4 linked regions of the Arabidopsis thaliana genome follow. The protein of the gene in region 1 interacts with the protein of each later gene in a pairwise test. Each region holds a gene or a part of one and is shown in the gene's direction. Other genes may lie near its edges. The genes, in order: UBC9, MUB6, MUB2 and MUB5.

What was found.
Region 2: the proteins of UBC9 (region 1) and MUB6 interact in a two-hybrid assay, tested with the Arabidopsis thaliana proteins (one study listed by BioGRID).
Region 3: the proteins of UBC9 (region 1) and MUB2 interact in a two-hybrid assay, tested with the Arabidopsis thaliana proteins (one study listed by BioGRID).
Region 4: the proteins of UBC9 (region 1) and MUB5 interact in a two-hybrid assay, tested with the Arabidopsis thaliana proteins (one study listed by BioGRID).

What each region holds. Positions count from the first base shown.
Region 1 is NC_003075.7:13,913,728-13,920,118, reverse strand, and holds UBC9 (ubiquitin conjugating enzyme 9), read left to right. Parts: upstream 1-2,618; 5' UTR 2,619-2,825; coding exon 2,826-2,985; intron 2,986-3,418; coding exon 3,419-3,546; intron 3,547-3,712; coding exon 3,713-3,817; intron 3,818-3,910; coding exon 3,911-4,054; 3' UTR 4,055-4,588; downstream 4,589-6,391. Other genes in the region: SLAH2 (SLAC1 homologue 2), read left to right, coding at 1-368, 455-1,225, 1,326-1,357, 1,445-1,829. UniProt on the Arabidopsis thaliana protein: Accepts the ubiquitin-like protein SUMO/SMT3 from the E1 complex and catalyzes its covalent attachment to other proteins. Mediates the selective degradation of short-lived and abnormal proteins.
Region 2 is NC_003070.9:7,768,994-7,774,636, forward strand, and holds MUB6 (membrane-anchored ubiquitin-fold protein 6 precursor), read left to right. Parts: upstream 1-2,665; 5' UTR 2,666-2,903; coding exon 2,904-3,036; intron 3,037-3,139; exon of another isoform or gene 3,140-3,491; coding exon 3,492-3,662; intron 3,663-3,794; coding exon 3,795-3,850; 3' UTR 3,851-4,161; downstream 4,162-5,643. Other genes in the region: AT1G22040 (Galactose oxidase/kelch repeat superfamily protein), read left to right, coding at 1-804; AT1G22060 (sporulation-specific protein), read right to left, coding at 4,380-4,656, 4,750-4,892, 4,974-5,075, 5,248-5,403. UniProt on the Arabidopsis thaliana protein: May serve as docking site to facilitate the association of other proteins to the plasma membrane.
Region 3 is NC_003076.8:5,017,413-5,024,059, reverse strand, and holds MUB2 (membrane-anchored ubiquitin-fold protein 2), read left to right. Parts: upstream 1-3,133; 5' UTR 3,134-3,490; exon of another isoform or gene 3,491-3,826; 5' UTR 3,827-3,954; coding exon 3,955-4,087; intron 4,088-4,289; exon of another isoform or gene 4,290-4,564; coding exon of another isoform or gene 4,565-4,619; intron 4,620-4,751; coding exon 4,752-4,916; intron 4,917-5,036; coding exon 5,037-5,113; 3' UTR 5,114-5,380; downstream 5,381-6,647. Other genes in the region: GAUT14 (galacturonosyltransferase 14), read left to right, coding at 1-102, 724-779, 861-1,016, 1,267-1,857, 1,946-2,248, 2,346-2,627; CLPB3 (casein lytic proteinase B3), read left to right, coding at 5,805-6,032, 6,138-6,356, 6,437-6,647. UniProt on the Arabidopsis thaliana protein: May serve as docking site to facilitate the association of other proteins to the plasma membrane.
Region 4 is NC_003070.9:29,282,108-29,287,629, forward strand, and holds MUB5 (membrane-anchored ubiquitin-fold protein 5 precursor), read left to right. Parts: upstream 1-2,855; 5' UTR 2,856-3,069; coding exon 3,070-3,199; intron 3,200-3,277; coding exon 3,278-3,454; intron 3,455-3,551; coding exon 3,552-3,607; 3' UTR 3,608-3,975; coding exon of another isoform or gene 3,976-4,056; 3' UTR 4,057-4,233; downstream 4,234-5,522. Other genes in the region: KOM (Rhomboid-related intramembrane serine protease family protein), read right to left, coding at 309-431, 557-683, 775-1,043, 1,130-1,293, 1,390-1,553, 2,041-2,351; AT1G77880 (Galactose oxidase/kelch repeat superfamily protein), read right to left, coding at 4,568-4,960. UniProt on the Arabidopsis thaliana protein: May serve as docking site to facilitate the association of other proteins to the plasma membrane.

The sequences.
Region 1 (6,391 bases):
ATAATCCAAGATCGGTTAGTCCTTTGGTTTCTCCAGCAAACCACTCAGATCTATTAGAAAACCAACGTCAATCCGGTTCTGGAGATTTCTCAAGATTAGAGAAACGAATCGGAGCGAGGAAGATGAAGTTTCATTCCAAGTCTATGCCCCGAGGTGCCATGTTTCTTGATCAAGAAGCATCTAGAAACTTCCACGACAAGAGGTATGACCTATTCAGGACCATGTCCGGGAAACTCGAACGTCAGATATCGAATTTACGTGGGAAACCCACTGAGAGTTCGTTGCAGGATCATAAAGAGATTACTGAATCTTTAACCGCTGATAGATACTTTGATGCTCTTCAAGGCCCCGAGCTTGAAACTCTCAAGGTATTTTATCATTCATTTTTGCTCATATGGTTGAGTTATACTTGTGTTTGGTTACTTCTATTTATGGGTTTATTGGTGGATGACAGGAGAAGGAGAAGATAGTTCTGCCTGAGGACAAAACGTGGCCGTTTCTTCTACGGTTTCCAATCACATCATATGGGATGTGTCTTGGAGTAAGTAGTCAAGCCATCATGTGGAAGACCTTAGCAACCACAGAGGCAGAGAAGTTCTTGCACGTGACTCAAGTGATCAACCACGTGCTCTGGTGGATCTCTCTCCTTCTCCTCCTCGCCGTTTCTATCACTTACCTCTTCAAAACCATCCTCTTCTTTGAGGCGGTTCGCCGTGAGTTTCGGCATCCGATCCGAGTCAACTTCTTCTTCGCTCCTCTTATATCAATCCTCTTCTTGGCACTTGGAATCCCACACTCTATCATCTCACATCTTCCCTCTACACTTTGGTACTTCCTTATGGCTCCCATCTTGTTTCTTGAGATGAAGATTTACGGACAGTGGATGTCTGGTGGACAAAGACGCCTCTCCAAAGTCGCCAACCCTACAAACCACCTTTCCATTGTCGGTAACTTTGCAGGAGCACTTCTAGGAGCATCCATGGGGTTGAAAGAAGGACCAATATTCTTCTTTGCCATAGGGTTGGCTTATTATTTGGTTTTATTTGTGACTCTCTATCAGAGACTTCCCACGAATGAAACCTTACCTAAAGAGCTTCACCCTGTTTTCTTCCTCTTTGTGGCTGCACCAGCCGTCGCTTCCATGGCCTGGACCAAGATCTCTGCCTCTTTCGATCTCGGTTCGCGTCTAGCATACTTCATCTCCTTGTTCTTGTACTTCTCTCTGGTAGTTTTTGTTTTCATTAACAGAGTTCTAGTGAGCTAGTGCTGAGTTTCTTGTGGTACAAGAAATGTAACAGCTTTACTTCTTGTGATTCTTGTTTCAGGTTTGTCGGATTAACCTTTTCCGGGGATTCAAGTAAGCTGTTTCTTGAACTGCAAGGATCTAATTTACCAAACCAAATAACATACATGTTATCTGACATAATTATTCAAAAAATATCAGATTCTCGCTAGCTTGGTGGGCTTACACGTTTCCAATGACGGCAGTGGCCAGTGCGACGATCAAATATTCAGACGAAGTCACGGGAGTGGCAACGAAGATACTATCGGTTGTGATGTCGGGAGCAGCAACTCTGACGGTGATAGCTGTGCTTGGGTTGACGGTGATGCATGCTTTTGTCCAACGTGATCTCTTCCCCAATGACGTTGTCATTGCCATAAGTGCAGAACAACCGAAGCAGAAGAGATGGTTCAAACATCTCACAAAAGAAAGTTATGGAAATAATGAGAGATGTCCCAAGATTTTGGATCCGGAAGATAATCAAATAGATTTAGAATCTCCTCCTTTAGTAAATGTAGATAGTTCCACGGTTCAGAATTCAAATTAACAAAAAAAAAAAATGTGATGAAAATTCATGATCTTTGTTAATTAACTTCTCATGTACAACACTATAGCAGTGCTAATAATAATAAATTAGCGAAAATCTTAATTATTTTGGTAAATTTTAGTTGCATACCATTCTTTTTACTGATCATGATAAATTACTTCTTCATTTCAGCAAAAATATAAAAACTATAATCACTTTGGCTTATTCTTTCGTTAGATTTAGTTATTATAGTATTGTTTGATTCAATTCAAGTAAAAACTATTTGAGTTATAGGCAAACTTAGTCACACCAACCGCAACCTTCACAATTTGTCTTAACAAGTTAGATCATATTTCGTGGAAATAATGTCTAGCTTAACATCTAATTTGTCGAATATATCTTAATGTCACTGTTATGTTAATTCATCCTCCATCTTTATACTTTGTCACCAAAACGAATCGTCTTGTCACATATGACATATGACAGTAAAAACAATGTAATAATTTCCTACACATCACGTTTTTGAAAAAAAACATCCTTCATCAACCGCTGGTCAATCTTGAAAGCATGGTAAATTCATTCAAATTACGTCAAATGATTCGTTCTACAAAACTCTCAGCCGTCGGATCATACGACTTTTGACTAAACCACTTAAACGACGACGCTTCGACGGGATTGGAAAACATCGGCGCCACATGATGATGATACGAACAACCGCGTTATTTTATATGTGCCGTAGGTACAACGCTGAGTTAGGCCCACCCAAAAAAAAGTTTGACATTATTTAAAACGAACGAATCTGAAAGAATAAAGCAGCAGAGTCCACTAATCAAACGAACCAGAATTTACCCGCACCCTATTTATTGTGGTCGCGACCACACAACATTTTCAACTTCTTCTTCTCTTCCGTTTCACCACCCTTTCTTCTCCTAAATTCGAAGAACCAAAACCAAAAACGTGAATTCGGAGTTATGATTTTGGATCTTCTTCCCGTCTTTATATATAATTTTCTGGGTTATGTTTTTCTTCTTCTTAATTCATCTGACCATTGGATTGGTTTTCGATTGCAGAGTCTTCAATTGGAATTTGGATCGTGGGATTTTGGAAATGGCATCGAAACGGATTTTGAAGGAATTGAAGGATCTGCAGAAGGATCCTCCTACTTCATGTAGCGCAGGTACCTATTCTTTTAGTCGATTTATCAACTTTGATTCAATAATTATGTTCCTCTTGCTGGATAATGATGGGTCGTTGGTTTTGATCTTCTTTTGAGCTGGTTTTTTATGTGTGCGACGGTTTGATATTGATCTCTCGTTAGCTTAGATCTAATTATCCTTGATTTTTAGGTAATTCAGCTGCTAATAACAGAAATTTGCATACTTCATGGTAACACTTGTTTGTGATTTTTCTAGGAATGAATCATAAAGGTCAATGTTCAAACTTGTTTGCTCGTTGATAGATCTGGTTTCATTTTTTGATTTCCTTGGATGAGATCTTAGGATTATAACTCTGTTGTTCTCTTCTAATTTTGCCCCTTTTACCAACTTCTTCTTATATGCATGTTGTTGCTTTTCTGGTTTGGTATTGAAGTTTTGGTTAAATGTTGACAGGACCCGTTGCGGAAGACATGTTTCATTGGCAGGCCACTATAATGGGTCCATCGGATAGCCCTTATTCTGGAGGAGTTTTTCTTGTAACCATCCATTTCCCTCCAGATTACCCATTTAAGCCTCCTAAGGTATATTCAAATCTCTACAGCTGCTTCTTCTTCTTTGAATTTTTTTTCCAACTTTACTTCGGCCATCATTTTTCTGTTGCTAATATCTTCCATCGTTTATCTATTGTTCTTTTCTCTGTGTTCTTGATTTCATTGCTCTCTATGTATGTTGTTACAAAAAATGTAGGTGGCTTTTAGGACGAAGGTGTTCCATCCAAACATTAACAGCAATGGAAGCATCTGCCTCGACATCTTGAAGGAGCAGTGGAGTCCTGCTCTCACAATTTCCAAGGTTTTCTTTTGTTCTTCCTCATCTTTATCATATTAGAACCATAATTTTGCAGCTTTGCTCTCCAGGTGACATCAATTTTGTGTGGTGCAACAGGTGCTGCTATCGATCTGTTCTTTGTTAACGGATCCAAACCCAGATGATCCTTTGGTCCCTGAGATAGCTCACATGTACAAGACAGACAAGAACAAGTACGAGTCCACTGCTCGGACCTGGACCCAAAAGTATGCCATGGGCTGACACAAATACTGTCCTTAAGGAAGAGCCCTAATAATTAAACTCTTCTTATTTCTATGTAATGATCTTTTATAGACTTGTCTGTCTTATAAAATTTGTGAAGACAGGATCAGTAAGAAATTATTTGATCTCCATTCTATGGAATTGTAAAACGTAAATCATCATCCCGTCTGCTGTTTCTTTATTGCGTGATGCCGATGCGTCTCTGTGTTTATCAAGGCTCATATTATTTTGGATTTTATTCTGTCCAAAGCCCAAACTAGCTACAATCGTAAGCCTTTCCGTTTTCGTAAACATTATTAACTTACATACGTAACATTTTCATTTTAGTATTATGTGGGCAATGATTTATGTAAATGGTGTATGGGGCCTAAGAGTGAAGTTGTTCATGAGTTAAGATTGTGATTGTGATCCATCTGGAACAATTTAATAAAATGGGACAAAGGAATTATCACTTTGAAGTTTGACCAATTTAAGATTTACAAAAAATAGTAAAACTATTAAAATCACCTTTTCCCCAAATAATATACTCAAACGGGTTTAGCCATTAGTGCTACTAAACATTATGGTATAAAGACCTTGAAAAAACGGTTACTTTTTTATGGTATAACCCAACTATTATGACACTTTTGTGTTCAAGGTTCTGTTTCAGTGATGGAGTATAGTATATTTTAACATAATGTTTATCCCACGAATTAGATTCCTCTTCGATGGACACATGTTGTTGTTAAGGTTGGGAGCTTATGAGGTTGGCGAGGTTTAAAGCAGTAATCAGGGCTTATTATGTTGAGATTAAGGTTATGATTTTATAATTTCACGTTAGTTTGTTGACGATTTATAAAAAAAAAATGTTATGAATGCATATTTTGCTTAATGAAAGTGCTAGTGGACGCTTGATCAATTCATGTTAATCTTTAAAACTCTTTATCTTAAGATTCAAATCAAAGTTTATTTTCTTTCTCGAAACTCCAACACTTGTATTTCTATATATTTTGAGTTTTGGGTTTACCGAGGCTTCCAAGTCCATTCGAATAAGTTTTTAAATGTGTGTTTTCACTACTCGAGCACTACTACTGATAAAACTTGTAAATAAATTATACTATTAGAACCGAATGGTATACTTTTCCTTCTAAAGCATTTAAACTACCACTAGTCACTAGATGCACATGTAAACTCAGCATCATATATGGTCTTAGTGTGGGTTAGCAGTTGCATTGAATAATCTTGTCTTTTACTTCATAATAGTTCTATGTTAAATCTGTAATTGTAATAGATATGTATGCATGGTATATAGTATCATGAATAGAAATTGTTTATATAGTAAAACCTAACAGCATAACACTACATTACTGTGTTCTACACTTCTACATAAACCAATTATATTCGTATATGAATACTCATACGTACGAAATTTAATGATCTCTAAACATATTAGAAAGAACGAAAGCAGTAAAACTTTCTGTTTCCAACCAGCTAAAGCCGTTAAAACTAGAGTTATAAGTTATCTTACCATTTGTCTTTCAACTAGTTTCGACCTTTTACATGATTCAACAGATTTTCTAAAAACTATCTCACAAATTTGAGTAGTACTATTACACAAAAAGAAAAGATTCACGTCTAATCCCACTAAGAATATATCAATTACATTAACCCACCAACGGCAATGTTTCATGTACTAAAAATACGAAAATTATTGTAAGAAATCAGAATATCAGCTTTCCAGAATTAAAGGCAGACTAACACCCGTTGCAACCCAAATTAAAACCATTGTTTTTGTTAAAGTGCAACCCAAATAACCATTACACGATCTATTCGAGCATGGACCGTTCTCTATTACAGAATATAGTACTTTCTAAGAGTCACCATAAATTTTCTAATTTTTATGTCTAACGACCGAAGGGTTTACTTACTAAATATCCCTTCAATACCCCCGAAAACTTATACAATGTCACTCTGTCAGTGACTGGACTACTTTTAATCTATGTTCAAAGTCTCCATAACTTAAAAAAAAAAAGTTTATTAATTATGATAAAGAGAGAGGTCGTGCCCAAGAGAGCATGGTTAACGCCAGGTTTTTATTAAATATTTAAATTAGAACTGAAGAAAATAACTTAGTTACAGCCTGATCTTAGAGATCCCCTGTTTTGTCTTTAGTAAATTAGAGAATCGTAACCTTTGGTGGCCTCCACTAAATGGCATTAATGACCAGTCACTAATGTTAATATTGCCGTGAATCAAATCTCTTAAACAAAACCTTTTGCGTTGAATAAAACTTAAAATTACAGTGGACACTTCAGCGGTCTCAAGAGTCAAGACAAGTGGAGGTAAGAAGAGGAGTCA
Region 2 (5,643 bases), on another chromosome or scaffold:
AGTGAAGTTAGTTCTATGTTGGCGAGTCGGGCTTATTCCAAAACAGGTGTATTGAATAAGAAACTATATGTTGTTGGAGGGGTTGATCGGGGACGGGGAGGTTTATCTCCTCTTCAGTCAGCTGAGGTTTATGATCCAAGCACGGATGCTTGGTCAGAGGTTCCGAGCATGCCTTTCTCAAAGGCGCAAGTGTTGCCAAATGCGTTTTTGGCTGACTTACTAAAGCCTATTGCCACAGGAATGACTTGCTACAACGGTAGGTTATGTGTTCCTCAGAGTTTATACTCTTGGCCTTTCTTTGTTGATGTTGGAGGAGAGGTTTATGATCCCGAGACAAATCTCTGGGTTGAAATGCCGTCTGGTATGGGTGAAGGTTGGCCTGCGAGGCAAGCAGGTACAAAACTGAGTGTTGTGGTGGATGGTGAGTTATACGCTTTTGATCCTTCTTCTTCGATGGAGAACGGAAAGATTAAAGTGTATGATCAAAAGGAAGATACTTGGAAGGTTGTTATTGGGGAAGTCCCTGTGTATGACTTAACAGATTCAGAATCTCCTTATTTGCTTGCTGGGTTTCATGGCAAGCTTCATTTCATTACTAGAGACCCTAATCATAACGTTACAGTCTTACGAGCTGATGTCCCCAACATCCCAGTCTCCTCATCATCATCTAGCTCCAGTTCTGTTTCAATCCCACACTTAAAGACCAATGCACCTAACAAGTCAGACACTGTTACATGGAAACTCATTGCAACCAAGGACTTTGGTGCTGCTGAACTTGTTAGCTGCCAAGTTATAGATATATAAAGTCATCAGAAGCTTTGCCCATTTCTCGTGGGCCATTAAGAATCTCTGTGTACAGCCAGAAGCAAAAACATGAAGCTTATGAGATGTTCTCCCAAAGATTTTATCGTCTAATTCTTCGATGATATATTCTTCTGGCATTTGGCTGCCAAAGTAAGCTTGAGTAATAAAATGTTGTGTGACAAATATATAATAATGCGACTGTTGTATCGAAATTTTTGACATGCGCAAATATACTATAGCAGTACATTACCTAGCAGTACAATTGCAGAAGTTCTGAATATGTAACATCAGTATGCTTCTGCATACATATTTCTGTAGTTGGTAATAGAGAAACTTGTAAAAGAAATAAAGTTTCAGGTAAAATTTGCAACTTATGGTGTGTATGTGATTCAGGCAATTAAAACAGTCTAACACAAAAAGGTATTGAAACTTCCTCCTTTTTTGGTTAATCCATCTCAACCAGGGATCACATTTCTTGAATTGAATCTAAACCGGAAATATTCGGTTCGGTTTAGAATCTCTCTTCCTTGCACTGAATTATGTAGCTCTCTTGATTAGTTTCTTGCTTCGACTACAATGGTGGACCTAAAGAAAGTAAGAAGACAAGAATGATATGTATAATTGATGCCTTAAGAATTTAGAACGAATCATATGCTCATAAAGCAAACCGTTTCTAGATTCTCATTTCACACTTCACCTCTTTTCTTTTTATCTTCTTTGATTTTTATATGAAAGTTGTTGCTTTTGATTTATTTCAACGAATCTATTCTATGATTAATTTTTGACATTTGTTTTAGTACTTTAATCTGATGTGAAGGAAATAGTCTTCTTTTCATGAATATCAAAGTATCACTAGCCTGTTAATTATTCCATCCAAAGGGTGTATCGGTTCTTTTTGTGGCATGCACGAACGAATTTTTCTTCATAATAATATTTGGTTGGTGTTTAGGAGGAAATTTTTTATGGTTGAACTTGAACATTTGAATTTCAACCATTTGGAACCAAACTAATTCTCATTTTAAATGATTTCCACTTGAACAAAAACCGATTATATCTATTTTTTTTTCTTCGAATGTTTTACTTGTAAGTTGGTGTATACAATTAGATTCATTACTTGAAAGTGAAGGAATTTTAGTTATACCTCGGTAACATTTTTTCTTTCGAACCAAATCGAATCCAAATGTTAAAGCATTAATTAGACCAAAATTTCAATTATTTCATTTAATTACCAATCAAGATTACTCACTAGATTGTTCCTCATGTCTTAAAACCCCACGGAAAATAATCGATTTGTGTAATTAAACACAATCTTTAATTAGTTAAAGTAGTTAGGCTTATATAGTTGGTGGCTGCCATTTTCTAACACATTCGAAATTACAATATGTTTCTTTGTGTGTTTATGCTAATCCTAAATTCCAGAAATGCCCCTCTTACCATATAATTTTGGCATATATGCCAACATATTAAAACAAGAATCCTATAAAATAATAGAGGAATCCAAAACACAAGAAATAAATTTCTTTAATTAAAAGAAATTAATGGTTGTTAAAGAGTTCAATATCAAAAGGGAAAGTATCAATACCCACTTAATAGGAATCAAAATTATTGAAATCCACTTGTTCAATATTGATATTGTACAACATGGCCAGAGTTTTTGACTAATACAATATCACTATCGAACAATCTAAAGTTAATTCACAAGTCTATATTTTTGATTAGTAAGTCACTAAATAATCAAAAGTCAGCTTTATTGATGATATTGTGTAGGGGTAAAAACGTCAAATTGAGGATTCAGGTAGGATTACGAAAATAAAAAAGAATCTGAAAGTTTCCCAATTTGTGTTATGTCTGCTCAAAGACAGCCTTTGTAACCAAAACCAAAGTGTCTCTCTTTTCTTCTTCCTAAATTTCTTTCCACGAGAATTGATTTGGGTTTGTGTTGTTTTTTTCTTTCTTTTTTGGGTTTTTGTAATTGGGTTGGTGAATAATCCTGCAAAAGTGTTCGATGATTTTCTCCAGAGAAGAATTTTGAAGTTTCTCTTTTTAGAGATTTTTTTTGTTGTTGGGGTTTTTTGTTTTCTGGGGGAAATTGAAAAGAGATGGCAGGTGAAGAAGATTGGATAGAACTAAAGTTTAGACTAGCAGATGGTACAGACATAGGTCCAAGCAAGTATAATCAATCTATGACTGTTTCTTCTCTTAAAGAGAAACTCATTTCTCAATGGCCTAAAGGTATTTTATACTTATAGTTATGCTTTTGCTTCTTTCTACAGCTTTTCACGGTTTTGATGGTTGAGTCTCATTTGATTCATTGCTTCATGTATTTCTTTTTACTCTCCATTGGGTTTGATTGTATTAAATTTGTCTTCTTTCTGCAATGATTTGAATGTATGATGAACTTTTTTGGGCTAGTCTAGGTGTTGAACTTTGTAAAGTATGAGGCTTTAATAGATAATTATAGTTTTATAGTGTGAAAGGTTTAGTTGTTGTTGTGTTAAGATCACTCTAGTTACTGATTTTGGCTAAAACTAGTATAAGATTGATGTCTCAAATTGTATTGTTTTTGCCTGGATTTTTTTGGTTTAGGTGTTTGGTGTTTCTTGGCCTTATTGAATCTTATGTTGCATTTACTTTCTCTACTTAAGGTTGTTTTATAATTGCATTTTCAATGTTTCTCTGTTTCACAGATAAAGAAAATACTCCAAAAACTGTAAATGATATGAAGCTCATCAATGCCGGGAAAATACTGGAGAACAATAGGACACTTGCTGAATCCAGGCTTCCTGTTTGTGAACTTCCTGGAATGATCATTACTATGCATATTGTTCTTCGCCTTCCTACGTTAGACAAAAAGAGCGGTAATTTTCTCTACCTTGTTATACTGTTTATCGCAGTGTAACAACATGTTCCCTTGAATTCTGTACTCGTTAACTATGGCTTTGAGATCATGTTCATATCATCTCATTATATGAAAATTTTCTGTTCCACAGAAAAACTGCAGAATGATCCACCGATGAAGAATCGCTGCGTGTGCACCATTTTGTAGCTGCAAGTAAATTGGATCATAGAGATTTATATCCGTCATGATCATGGCACTAGATGATGCTCCACGGAACAACTTCCATGGCATCAAACAAGCTTTGAGAAGTTCCTTCAGTACAGAATGATTGGCATAGGCATGAAAACAAAAGATCTTCATTACAGAATTTGGTTCCATGTGTGTGGTTTTTAATTATTATTTTTTAAAAATCAAAATGGCTTGAGAAAATGTACTATGATTCTTGAAGGTTGGTTCTTTTATAAATATATACAATATGTTCAATACAACAGTAAATAACAAGAATGGTATTGTCCTTATGTATGTTCTTATTCTCAACTAAACTTCTCATTTTTTGAATTAAAGAATATGGGGTTTCTATACAACACAGAGAACACATCACTTTAAAAACCCCATATCTTGAGACTCGAATAAACAACAATTATATTAAGCTATCTATAACTCGAGACCACTCTTGGAACTTGGACTTCTTCAACATTCTTGGAACTTTATATACATGGTAAGTAACATCTGTGCATTAATGTTCACCAAGAGTTGCTGATGATGAACGGTTCAAGAGCATAGCCTTCTTTGATGCCCTAACGTTCTTCAGAGTCATCATCAGCTTTTGTCTCTCTCCTTCAACCTCTGCAAACTTGAGGCTTAGCTGAGAATAACGGTCATGCATTTCCCTAAGCTCTGTCTCCATAGACGAATACCGGCCTTTGGTATCCAACATTTCTTCAATTAGATTGTTTATGTCTCTGAAACTCTGGAAGATTGCTTCGTCATCGGTGTGTTGCTTCAAGAAAGAGCTGCAATTTCAGGCAAAAAGGAATAATAAGTTCAACGTGGTCTAGTATAGTTACAAAGGCGAAAATTAATAGCAGAATTTTTGAATCGTGTACCTCTGGAAATGGGTGGTTGATTTTTTCTTTCCACGCAATGCTTCAGCGAGTTCTATTTCCAGTGCAAGAACCCTTTCCAATGCGTTTCCGCAACTGAAATTCTCTTGAGATAGAGGGAAGATACTCTGAAGTTCTTCCTTTGCCTGTCGAAAACAAGATCATAAGACTTCTACAGACACTTATGCTTCAATTCATTACAATCTCTAAAAGGTAAACATCAGCACCTGACGCAACTGCATCAGCTCCTGTTCCAAACCCGGAAATCTGGTGTCTGAATCATTATCATCTTGAGGTTCAAGTAGATTCTCATTCTTCATCCGTTCTAGCTGTAAAGAAGACAGAAAAAAGACCCAATGACGCTAGGCAAAATCTTTCTGTAGATAATTACCATCATGTAGATATTGTAATTCAGAATTGCCATCCAATCCAAACTAAGTCACTGATATTAACATTTCCAATTAATTTAACTAGTAATTTTAACCCTTAATCCAGTATTACCTCATCGTTTAGGTGATCCATGCTAGACCTTAAAGTCTCTGCCCTGAATTTATCATTGATCAAAGCTAGGCTTTCTTCACGTTTGTCCAGCGCCATTGCTTCTCCGGAAGGTAATTGGTCTCTGTTTCCATTTACACTGCTCGATTGAATAGTACCCTGATGAACATACATTAAAATAAGAAATTCCTTATAGCACCTTTTTTTACCCGTCGAGCACAGGAAATAACATCCTTAATATCTAACTAGAGAACTATTTACAGAAAACATCGACATACGTAGTAGCCTAGTCATTACCAGCTTGATTAAATCACGTAAACTAGTTTTGCATAACATTTCATAAAGAAGATGCAGCAGAAGTTTAGGGTTGGAACAGAACTCGTTTTAACTTCTATGATA
Region 3 (6,647 bases), on another chromosome or scaffold:
CTCTCTTCCACACCATCTTAATCCTCGCTTTCTTGTTGCCTTTTGTTTTCATTCTCACCGCTGTTGTTACCCTTGAGGGTGTCAACAAATGCTCCTCCATTGGTAATCTCATTTGTTCTCTTTTTCATCTTAATTGGTTCGGATCTCAAGTTTTCTGTTGCCTAATTCAAGGATTCTCTGTTGTGGATAGAAACGTTTTACAAGTTTTCTTCTTTAGTGTTGTTCCTTGGCAAAAACATCTTGTTAGTTTTTTGTTGTATCCATTTGTGATGCTTAGGATTGTACTTGGATTGGCTTAAGTCAACAACGTTTGGTTGATTTTGGATTCTTCTTGTTAGGTCCCCACTAATGATTTTGTAAGATCCTGGTTTTCATTGAGCTGTACTACCTTAATTGTTAGGTGTACATATACTTTTCACCATCTATTTCTCACTTTTCCATATCAATGCATTTTGTTGGATTGTGGAGCTGAATGACAAATTTTGTTGAATTCCTTTTTTTTTTGTGTGTTAAGATTTCTCTGCATTACTAGATTTGAACCAAATTATATGTCTTTAGGGTCTTTTTCCCTCTACATTTATCTTTATGCTGTGTGTTCATGTGTTGAGGTTTTCCATTCAAGATCGGTGTTAATTTCAATTGAATGATCAGCTTCCATGTATCTCCCCAGTGCTCTTGTGACCCTCTCATTAAAGTTTCTCCCCCTTTGCTTCTTACTTTCAGATTGTTTAGGGAGGCGGATAGGTCCACGTCTTCTTGGTAGGGTAGATGATTCAGAGGTGAGTGGTTTCTTTCGTCGGCTAATTTTCAGTATCTTTTCATATTGTGAATTTATTTATCTCATGTTTCTCTTGCTACAGAGACTAGCTAGAGACTTTTATAAAATTCTAAACGAAGTAAGCACTCAAGAAATTCCAGATGGTTTGAAGCTTCCAAATTCTTTTAGTCAACTTGTTTCCGATATGAAGAATAACCACTATGATGCAAAAACATTTGCTCTTGTGCTGCGAGCCATGGTACGCTTTGTCTAATCTGAAATTATTTCTGATCCTACATATTATATACTTGCATCAAAAGGACATTTGTTTTTGTTTAGTTAGAAAATATTTTGCATCTATCTGTGGCTCTTGCAATTGTCAAGTTGGTTTCTTTTCTTTTTTATTTGCATTTGGAAGAGATCTTTGTTAATTCTTGTTGCTCTCTAAAGTGAGCCATATCAATGGGAAGATTATCATATGTGATATATCTCTATCTTGTCTTGAACAGATGGAGAAGTTTGAACGTGATATGAGGGAATCGAAATTTGCAGAACTTATGAACAAGCACTTTGCAGCAAGTTCCATTCCCAAAGGCATTCATTGTCTCTCTCTAAGACTGACAGATGAATATTCCTCCAATGCTCATGCTCGAAGACAGCTTCCTTCACCAGAGTTTCTCCCTGTTCTTTCAGATAATGCTTACCACCACTTTATTTTGTCCACGGACAATATTTTGGCTGCCTCAGTTGTGGTCTCATCCGCTGTTCAGTCATCTTCAAAACCCGAGAAAATTGTCTTTCACATCATTACAGACAAGAAAACCTATGCGGGTATGCATTCATGGTTTGCGCTTAATTCTGTTGCACCAGCAATTGTTGAGGTTAAAGGTGTTCATCAGTTTGACTGGTTGACGAGAGAGAATGTTCCGGTTTTGGAAGCTGTGGAAAGCCATAATGGTGTCAGGGACTATTATCATGGGAATCATGTCGCTGGGGCAAACCTCACCGAAACAACTCCTCGAACATTTGCTTCAAAATTGCAGTCTAGAAGTCCAAAATACATATCTTTGCTCAACCATCTTAGAATATATATACCAGAGGTAAATCTTTATCCCCTAGTTTGAACTTGCAATAGAACTCATGGGGATTCTAAATCATTTGCCAATTTCGTCTCTTTTTTTGGAATAGCTTTTCCCGAACTTGGACAAGGTGGTTTTCTTAGACGATGATATAGTTGTCCAGGGAGACTTAACTCCACTTTGGGATGTTGACCTCGGTGGTAAGGTCAATGGGGCAGTAGAGACTTGCAGGGGTGAAGATGAATGGGTGATGTCAAAGCGTTTAAGGAACTACTTCAATTTCTCTCACCCGCTCATCGCAAAGCATTTAGATCCTGAAGAATGTGCTTGGGCATATGGTATGAATATCTTCGATCTACAAGCTTGGAGGAAAACAAATATCAGAGAAACGTATCACTCTTGGCTTAGAGAGGTAACTCTATCGAATAAGCTTACACTTTTTTGTTTTTCTTTAGCAGAATCTAAAGTTACCTCTCTAATCTACTCTGTTTACTTTTGCTTTGGAACAGAATCTAAAGTCAAATCTGACAATGTGGAAACTTGGAACCTTGCCTCCTGCTCTTATCGCGTTCAAGGGTCACGTACACATAATAGACTCGTCATGGCATATGCTAGGATTAGGCTACCAGAGCAAGACCAACATAGAAAATGTGAAGAAAGCAGCAGTGATCCACTACAATGGGCAGTCAAAGCCATGGCTGGAGATTGGTTTCGAGCATCTGCGGCCATTCTGGACCAAATACGTCAACTACTCAAATGATTTCATCAAGAACTGTCACATATTGGAGTAGGAAAACCGAAACTTTGAGATGATCATGAAGGTAAGAGTTACAGGTGTATGATCATGAAGGTAGTTACAGGTGTAAAAGAGGAGAAGTAGTAAAAAAGACAAGGCAGTCTGCAGATATTACACTCAGTCTAAAGAAGGAAGAATCAGAAATTTAGTTTGCCACATACATAAGAGAAACTTGGTTGCAGCGAAGGGAAGGTTGCATAAGAGAAAGAGAGAGAGAGAGATAAAGATTCATTCTTTCTGTAAAATAGAAGGTTACCCTTTTTTTGAAATTCTTTTGGAGAATCCAATTCTTGAATCTTTTTATAAGAATGGGGAAAGAAAGATTGGGTTTATAATTCTTTTTTGGTTATTAAGAGAGAGAGGGAGAGGTTATGACCAGAAAAGCCAGTTGTTGATAAATTGAGGAACACACTTATACACTTGTTTTGTTGCTATTTGCTCCACATTTCTTATTAATATCATCATTTCAGTTCCTAATCTTTTCGAGCTGTGATTTTGAATGTAATCTCTACAAAGATCGTTGATGATTAACCAAACAAACAAAAATCTCCAATAGCTTTTGAATGTACAAATAAAAATGAGATCATATCAATGTACAGAGAGCATTTGGTAATATAATTATTATTTTTAAAAGGAATTTAAAAGGTAGAGCATTTTAATTGGCGTAGAGATGGGAAGAAGAAGAAGAAGAACAAGGACATAAAAAGGATTTGGGGAACATTTTGGCTGCAATTTATTCTCAAACCTTATGAGTGAGATCTCTCTTAATCATTCTCTCTTTCTTCTCTCCTCTGTGATGTGAGGTTTCGAAGATCCTTCTCTGATTCCTCATCAAACTCAGATCAGTAGCGGACCCAAGTAAGAACACCTAATTAGGGTTTCTTTTTGTTCGTGTTCCATCGGTTAATCTAATACCAGATTGAGTTCCATTGGTACTTTTGTTGTTCCTTTCGGAGATAATACGATTCATGATCGATCATATTTTCAAGGAATGATCTTTGCTATTCTTAGGATTCATATTATTTGATCAATGCGTTTCTTATATTCATTTTCACCATTCAGGATCATCTACCAATCCATAAGTTTCATTAGGGTTCACATTGAGACTTGAGCTAGAGAAAACATGTTTTTGTAGCTGCTTGAGAATTTGTTCTTGTGTGAAACAATTGGTTCCTTGTTTTTGATTTATTGCAGATAGGATCAAAGCAAACGAGGTTTCAATTTAGAGTTTTTTAAAGCTCAAATCTCGGTTGCTTCGGTTGAACTTCTTGATACACTGTCTCGTTTTGAGTTCTTGTTAGGTCATTCCTTTAGAGAGATATATGGCAGAGGTGAAGGATCAATTAGAGATTAAGTTCCGGCTTAACGATGGTTCTGATATCGGTCCTAAATTGTTTCCTGATGCTACTACCGTTGCTACATTGAAAGAAACCGTTGTTGCTCAGTGGCCAAGAGGTCAGTGTCTATGCTCTTACTCTGCTTTACATGTATTGATGATATTCATTTATGCAATGAGATAAAGCCGCGTTAAGCTTTATCGGTCTGGCGATTTCTCCATGACTAGAATGGTTTAGACTTTAGAATTGCATTGTAAAGAAACTTTCATATTTAGCCTTTTGTTAGGTTCAGAAACTCATTGCCCTCTTTATTGATCCTTGAGAAACTGGTTACAAAGATAAATCAATGACCAAACGTAAGAAGAGACTGAAACAGAATTAGAGCAAACGAGAGAGTAATTTCTGTACAACTCTTCTTTCTCCCCAATGCCCCCAAATTATCTAGACCAATCAGCTTCTTAAACCTTCAGCTCTCAACTAACCGATGAGGTCTATTACTGAGCTGGCAAAGCTACACTTCCCTGCATCACCCCTAGGCTAGTTACATTAGTCCTGCACTGCACTGGACTTAACAAGAACGCCTTCTCGCTTCTCCATGAGGACCTGCATTGGTTTTTCGCCTATATCTGTGATAATATCAAAACCTGATTGTGAGTCATTGGTGTTATGGTTTTGCTTGTTTGTATAATTTTGAGCAGCTAAGGAGAATGTGGCAAAGACACTGAAAGATATGAAATTGATTAACCCTTTATGGTTTTGCTTGTTTGTATGAATGTGAGCAGATAAGGAGAACGGGCCAAAGACAGTGAAAGATGTTAAACTGATAAGCGCGGGTAGAATATTGGAGAACAACAAAACGGTTGGAGATTGCAGGAGTCCCGTCGGCAATTTCTCAGGTGCTGTCACCACAATGCATGTTATAATTCAACATCAAGTTACTGAAAAAGGTAATCTTTAGATTCTTAAGCATTGTTCATAGTATATACTGTTTGAAAACCTCATCTGTTAAGGTTATGCATTTGTATGAGAATCTGAAGATCATTTGCTTTGCTAATGGTTTAAAACAGAAAAGAAGAAGAAGAAGCCTAAAGGTGATCTGAAACAGAACAAATGTGTCTGTTTATGTTTTGGAGCTCGTTGTTAACAATTGTGCAAGACAAGTAGAGAGAGTTAAAAAAGCTTGGGAGATTCACATTCTGTTCTTGAGCCTTCTTCAATACCTTTTGCTCTTGTTCCTTGTAATTCTTTTTTCTGACATGACATGACATGATTGGCTTTTTGATCGCTTGAGGTTTGGTTTCTATTGTATTTCGGATTCGCAACACCGTGGAAATTATTAGGTAACAAACAAATTTGCACGGAATAAAGTGAATCATCACGAAATATAACTTGACATAATTTCCGTGGTTAACAATGTTTGGTTTCTGTTAACAGTCGTAGTGGGCCAATCTCGTTATCAACGGCCCAAAATTCGGGAAACTATATATTAATTATTATTTTCTGCTATATTTTTGGACGGTTCATATTAATTCTACTTCGAAAAATCCTAAGTTTTCTGAGAGTGAACACGTGTCAGAAGAAGGTCTCAGTAGTAAGTACATCCCGATGGTTCACGAAGACTCCGGCGTCGTTTAGCAACTTCTTCTTCTTCTTTATTAGTTTTCTACTTCACCTTTTCTCTTGGTTCTCGCTAAAACTACACGAGAAAGCAAAAGCGTTTCTCTTTGCTGATTTCTTAAGTAAACATCTCGCCGTTTTGGTGGATTTGTGCTAAACTACCTGTTGTATTTGATCTTCCTTTTTCAATTGCTTGCTGTTCTTAAATTTCCGAGCTAATGGCGACGGCTACGACGACTGCTACGGCGGCGTTTAGTGGTGTAGTCAGTGTAGGAACGGAGACTCGAAGGATTTATTCGTTTTCTCATCTTCAACCTTCTGCGGCTTTTCCGGCGAAGCCTAGTTCCTTCAAATCTCTCAAATTAAAGCAGAGCGCGAGGCTCACACGGCGGCTTGATCATCGGCCGTTCGTTGTCCGATGTGAAGCTTCTTCTTCTAATGGAAGGGTAAAGTCTGAAACTTTAGGATTTTTAAGTAATCACAAATCTGGAATTGACACTGGAAGGATTTTACTGTACTGGATTGCTAATTTGGGTTTGATGTTTGTATAGCTTACACAGCAAGAATTCACAGAAATGGCGTGGCAATCGATAGTTTCGTCACCAGATGTTGCAAAAGAGAATAAGCAACAGATTGTGGAGACAGAGCATCTAATGAAAGCTCTTTTGGAGCAGAAGAATGGTTTAGCTCGTAGGATTTTCTCTAAGATCGGTGTGGATAACACAAAGGTTCTAGAAGCAACAGAGAAGTTCATTCAACGCCAACCAAAGGTAATGTAATGTCTTTAAGGGTTTGATATTTGTTGTTTCTTTGTTTGTGAGGCTAATGAAAATTAAGTTTGTGATTTCAGGTGTATGGAGATGCTGCTGGTTCGATGTTGGGGCGTGATTTGGAAGCTCTGTTCCAGAGAGCAAGACAGTTTAAGAAAGATTTAAAGGACTCTTATGTGTCAGTGGAGCATTTGGTTCTTGCTTTTGCTGATGATAAGCGGTTTGGGAAACAGTTGTTTAAGGATTTTCAGATATCAGAGAGGAGCTTGAAATCTGCAATTGAATCCATTA
Region 4 (5,522 bases), on another chromosome or scaffold:
TATACTTACTTGTTGGTGTGTCATGTGTGCGTAGATATGATGTGGATTGTGTAAGAAACTAATGTGGCTACTGGGTCCTCTCATATGGGACCAAACTTCGTAGACTTTAGTATTTACATTCATAGAACCAAAACATTAGTCTCATTACAAAACATTTACCACTTATCCGTTAAGGCTATAGGCTACAAACAAAAGTTACCAGAATTGACCAAAGAATCTTACGAGATTTGTGATTTTGGTATATGCAATTATTCAAGTGTGGGAGTGAGTATATTAGATCTATGAAGGAGTTGAAGCCTTGGTCATCTTTAAGAGCATACGAGTGTGCAGAGGTCTTCTGTCCTGGCTTGTGAGATATTGGTGAAAGGAAATATCCTGAACTTTCCATTTGCCATGCACGTTAGTGTTAGCTGAGCATCACTCACCATTGCCTGTCGTATTCACATATAGTTTTTTACAATGTTGTAATCACTAATCAGACTCAGAATTTGCATATATATAGACTCAGATTCTAGTTTCAGGGTCACAACAAAGGTTATGGTTTAGATGAATATACCTCGCAGGAAGTAGTCATGTCGCTGCAGCTCCATTTTTTGGTTGGAACACAGTCAACATAGCGACACCAATGGCAATGACGGTTGAGATTGACTCCCCAGCATGCTGCTAATAGAACCCCGGCAAGTCTAAACAGAGATGGAAAGCTTTTTCATGTCACAAGAGCGTAGATAAAACAAAAAAAACTAGACCAAAAAGAGATTTGAGGTAAATTCTCACATTCCACAAAACACGAGCAGGCATATAATCCTTAATACCGGTCTGTCAAACTGTTCTTTAAGCCTTGTGGATCTGTTCATATCATCTTCAAACAATTTCCCCTTATGAGATGGAGGCATCTGTCTCAGTTGTGGTTTGAACAATAGCACAAATCCAAGGAGGAATCCTGATATGAAACCACCAATATTTGCAAAGTTGTCTATGAAAGGGAGAAAGCCTATCAGGAAATTCACAGTGAAGATAGTGAATATTATCGCCAAGGCTGAAATCTGTACCAAGCAAAAGAAAATACAATCAGAAAAGCTATGAGAAGAAGATAACAAGAGACAAAACAGAACCACAAGAAATCCTTGACCTTGCTGTTATATAGATTCCAGTTCTTTGCAAGTGCAGAAAGCATGGCTCCAATCAACCCAAAGAAAGCAGCACCAGAAGAGATTGATGGGATGTTCCGAACAAACAACACAGCAAACAGACTACCCATAATGCCAGAGAGGAAGTATATGACTGCAATCCTCACTACAAAACCAAAGCAAAAGCAGAAGAAAGGTGGATTAGAAAGGTGATAGATTCCATCCAAAACAGACTAATCAAAAGTCAAGTAGTCTAAATTACATGGTCCAAACTGTTGCTCCATGTATATCCCTACGAAAATCAAACTCCCAAGATTTATGAATAGATGAAATAATCCACTGTGCAGCCATGGAGATGTCAAAATACGCCAAATCTCATGATTCTCCGTCAGAGCTTTCCAAGAAAGACCTCCCATATGCTCTAACCTGCAAACTCACAAGAAAATAAGTAGTCCATAGCTTATAATCAGTCATTTGATAGCTCAAGTTACCCCTATTTCCCTTAATTTTCTGAAACATAGAGCTCTCACAAGAACCACCACTTGAATTAGATTGCTTCATCAACAGAATGTAGCACCAAGAGCCACACAAATAAACACACACACACACTAGAACAACACAGAATTGTAAACAAGAACTTGTCGGTTGTCACTGTAATCAGAGATTGAGACACTATGAATCAGCTGAAACTCATCAATCTTGGAAACTAGTATCATCCAAATCCAACAAACTTCAGCAACCTATCGTTACCGATCCAAAAGATGAGCAGAATGAAACATCCAAAATTACAGGTCTAAGCAACGAAGCATCCAAAATCCATCTCTAAAGGATCTAACAATTCAATTAGAGATCGATTCCAAAATCAGTTACAAGCAGAGACCAAAAGCGAAATCCGCCGGAGAGAGCTACTTACGTTGAGGCGGAGGGACCAAGCATAGGATTCTCGGAGAGAGACTGGAAAGAGAATCGGCCAAGGAGTTTAGCGGAGCAGTGACCGTGAGAGTTCCCGGAGCAATCGTTGACGCCCATAGTTACAGCGAAGAGGACGATCTGAAGAAGAACGAAGACGGAGACAAGCCAAGTGTCTCGTTTGATTTGCCGTGAACGGTGACGGAAGAATGAGATCTTGTCCCAGCTAGAATCGCCGGCGTTAGAAGTGGTAAACGAGAGATTGTGAGAGATTTCATCGATCTGCGTCGTCTTTGACTCTGTAGGAACCTCCATTGTTGAAGGTGAGCGAGAAATTAGGGGATGATGACGAATGGGTTGTTTTATACTTTGTAGAAATTGGCGGGAAAATGTTATTGGAGAGCAAACCGAACGCTAACCGTTTCACGATCCGGTTCGGAATTGATTTAGAGCGCGTGTACCGCTTACTATACACGTCATTATCATTTGTATTAAACTCAAATCAAAATTTTAAAAGATATAGCTGGATTAATTTTTTCAACGCATTTGATTCTGTATTTTATTTTTATTAAAAAAAGATTCAGTGAACATATAAAAAGATTAGTATCATTAAGCCATTATTAATTACTATTTTCAAGCAAAGAATGTATCGTGTTTGTGGAATGTACGCAAGGAATGATTCATGTATTCGTGACGGTTGGTTTTGGTTGGCGTCTAATATGACAAGTGATCATAAAAGCTTATGTTAATATATCATCATATAATCCAAATCATTTATAGTTAGTACTTAGTATGCTAAATATACGTTGCAAATTTATCGTATATAGTCAACCAAAAAGGTAAATTCAGATTTGTATAAATGTAAATGGAGAGATGACTGTATCTTGAGATTTCTGGTAGTTATTATATAAGTTGAGAAAGAGAGTAAGAGACCCAATTATTGTTATTTTCTAAATTTGGCTCTGCTCAAAGACAACGGAACTCTCTGCTTTTCTTCTTTCTAGAGATCTTTTCTTGAGGTAATAATTTAAAGATGGGAGATGAAGATTTAATAGAATTGAAGTTCAGACTCGCAGATGGTACCGACATTGGTCCAAGCAAATATAGTCAATTCATGACTGTTGCATCTCTCAAGGAGAAAATCATTGCTCAATGGCCTAAAGGTAAATCATTTTCTATGTTTCTTCTCAAAAGTTTTGCTATTTGTTTAAAGGTGAAGTTGAAAATCTTGTTGTGGACAGACAAAGAAAACGCACCAAAGATGATAAATGAGGTTAAGCTCATCAATGGTGGGAAGATACTTGAGAACAACAAAACACTTTCTGAAGCAAGGTCCTTAATAACTATTGGTGAACTTCCTGGAATTGTAACTACAATGCATGTTGTTCTTCGTCCTCCTCTCTTTGAGAAGAAAAAAGGTAATTTCTATACATTTTCTCTTCAATTCTTGAGTGTTTTTGTGTGTATTTTGTATATCTCAAAGCTTTGTTTTTATGTTTTCTTTTGTTTCTTCAGAGAAACTGCAGAATGATCCTCCAAGGAAGAGTCACTGTGTATGCTGCATTTTGTAGCTCCACTTAGAGATTTTTGATCCTTTATACAATTTATTCCATTGGAAAAAACTTTCCATATCTTAAAGTCTTCAACATGGATCTTCATTACCAGAATGATTTTGGTTTTTCTTCCTTCCTTTTCTTCTTCATTGTTTATCAAAAATGGCTTAAGAAAAATTACTGTGTTGTTGAAGATTGAGGTATTATGTAAAAATTTGTTCATATGAGTGAAAAGCAAATATGAGTTGCTTGAAAGGACCTGTTATAACACAAGAAGATAACTAGTTATATATAACTTTAGAGCACTACAATATTTACTTAGAGATGTATATCCATCCACATAGTAACAAATGCTCCAACTTTTATCTGTTGTGATCACTACATCTTCACACAAGCTTGAGCATTTCCTCAATTAGATTGTTTATGGCTCTATACTTCATCATCACAATGTTTGCTTCAAGAAAGAGCTGCAAGAGTTTCAGAAACTGAGTGATGATAAAATAATTACTGTGTTTTTCTTTAAGCATATTTATCTGGAAGCTTGGTCTGACTATACAGATCTACTAAATCAGCACATGCATTGTGGAAGGTTGTAGGGTAAGTTTTGATTAGAAAGGGACACCATTTTATGGCCTTAAGATGGAGAGTAGGTCCACTATCAGTTAATGGGTGAGGAAAATGATGGTATGACATGACAATATGATATAACATGAGTTGCTTTCAATCAACCTATATAGTACACTAAGATTATTATGGATGACTATATAGTACACTAAGTTTATTATGGATGACTAGTTCTGAAAATGACCCCTTTTTTGCTTTTGTCCTTCAAGTGCCTAATTCTCTGTTTTTTCCAGCCTAGTTAAACTAGTAACCACAAGTCAGTAAATCAACATGATGTAATCAAGAATTGGCTATGGCAAGTTCTCGAAACGATTGTATGCATTATGCAATCATATTCAAACCATAAATCCTACATCATATAGAAAACAAAATGATATATATGATCATGAGGAAGCAATGACTCAAACAGTGGTAACAAGATAGTGCTCGAGACAAATTGAATAGGGGCAACGTATGCACAACATGACACCACTCAACTTTCCCATAAACCTCATGGTCGTTGCGCCTCTCAGTCATAAAGAAATAGAGACAACTCTCGGAGGTACCTAAAAGCCGTCGGGTCTCGTAGAGCTCTGTGGAAGCGAGAAGAGAGCGGAATCTCTTGGAGACTAACGAGAGAGTTGGGTAGTACAATCTAGAGATGCGTGCTAAGCAATTCAAGAGTAGATCGTCTGGGAGATATGGTATACTAACCTTTTCAGCTTCAGATGTGCTACTCAACACAATCTTCTTCTTCTTCTTCCTCATCTTCACCGACGACTTGATCCTCTGGCAGTCACCGACCAACACAGTTCTTCTTCTCCGACAAATGCTTTTTTCTATTTCGCTAATCTCAACAATTTGGGTCAGTAAAATGCTATTGGGCTGGGCCTGTATTCTTTTCTTTTATTTAATTTAAATCGTAAGCCTTTTTACGAAAAAAAAAACAATTGGAGAAGAACGAGATTTCGGGGATTCTGATGGTTCTCAATGGGCCTTTTAACTGATTCAAGCCCACTCTCTTTTTTTTTTTTGGTGATTTCAAGCCCACTCTCTTAATTCACTTCCAAAGAGTTTTATTAAATTTAATATGTTACTAAAATTTTTTATATCATTTAAAAATTAATAGTTAATTCATTTGTAAAGGTAAAATTGAAATTTGTTTTTTGTTATGAAATTATGAGTACAAAAATAACTGTATTTTATTTCTTAGCTATTAAATCGCACACTTTAATTACTATATATATTTTTCTTTCAACCAAAAAGTAATTGGATATTAAACATCATAAAAAATAAACTATTTTTTTCCGGATTTTTTAGTTTTTTTTTT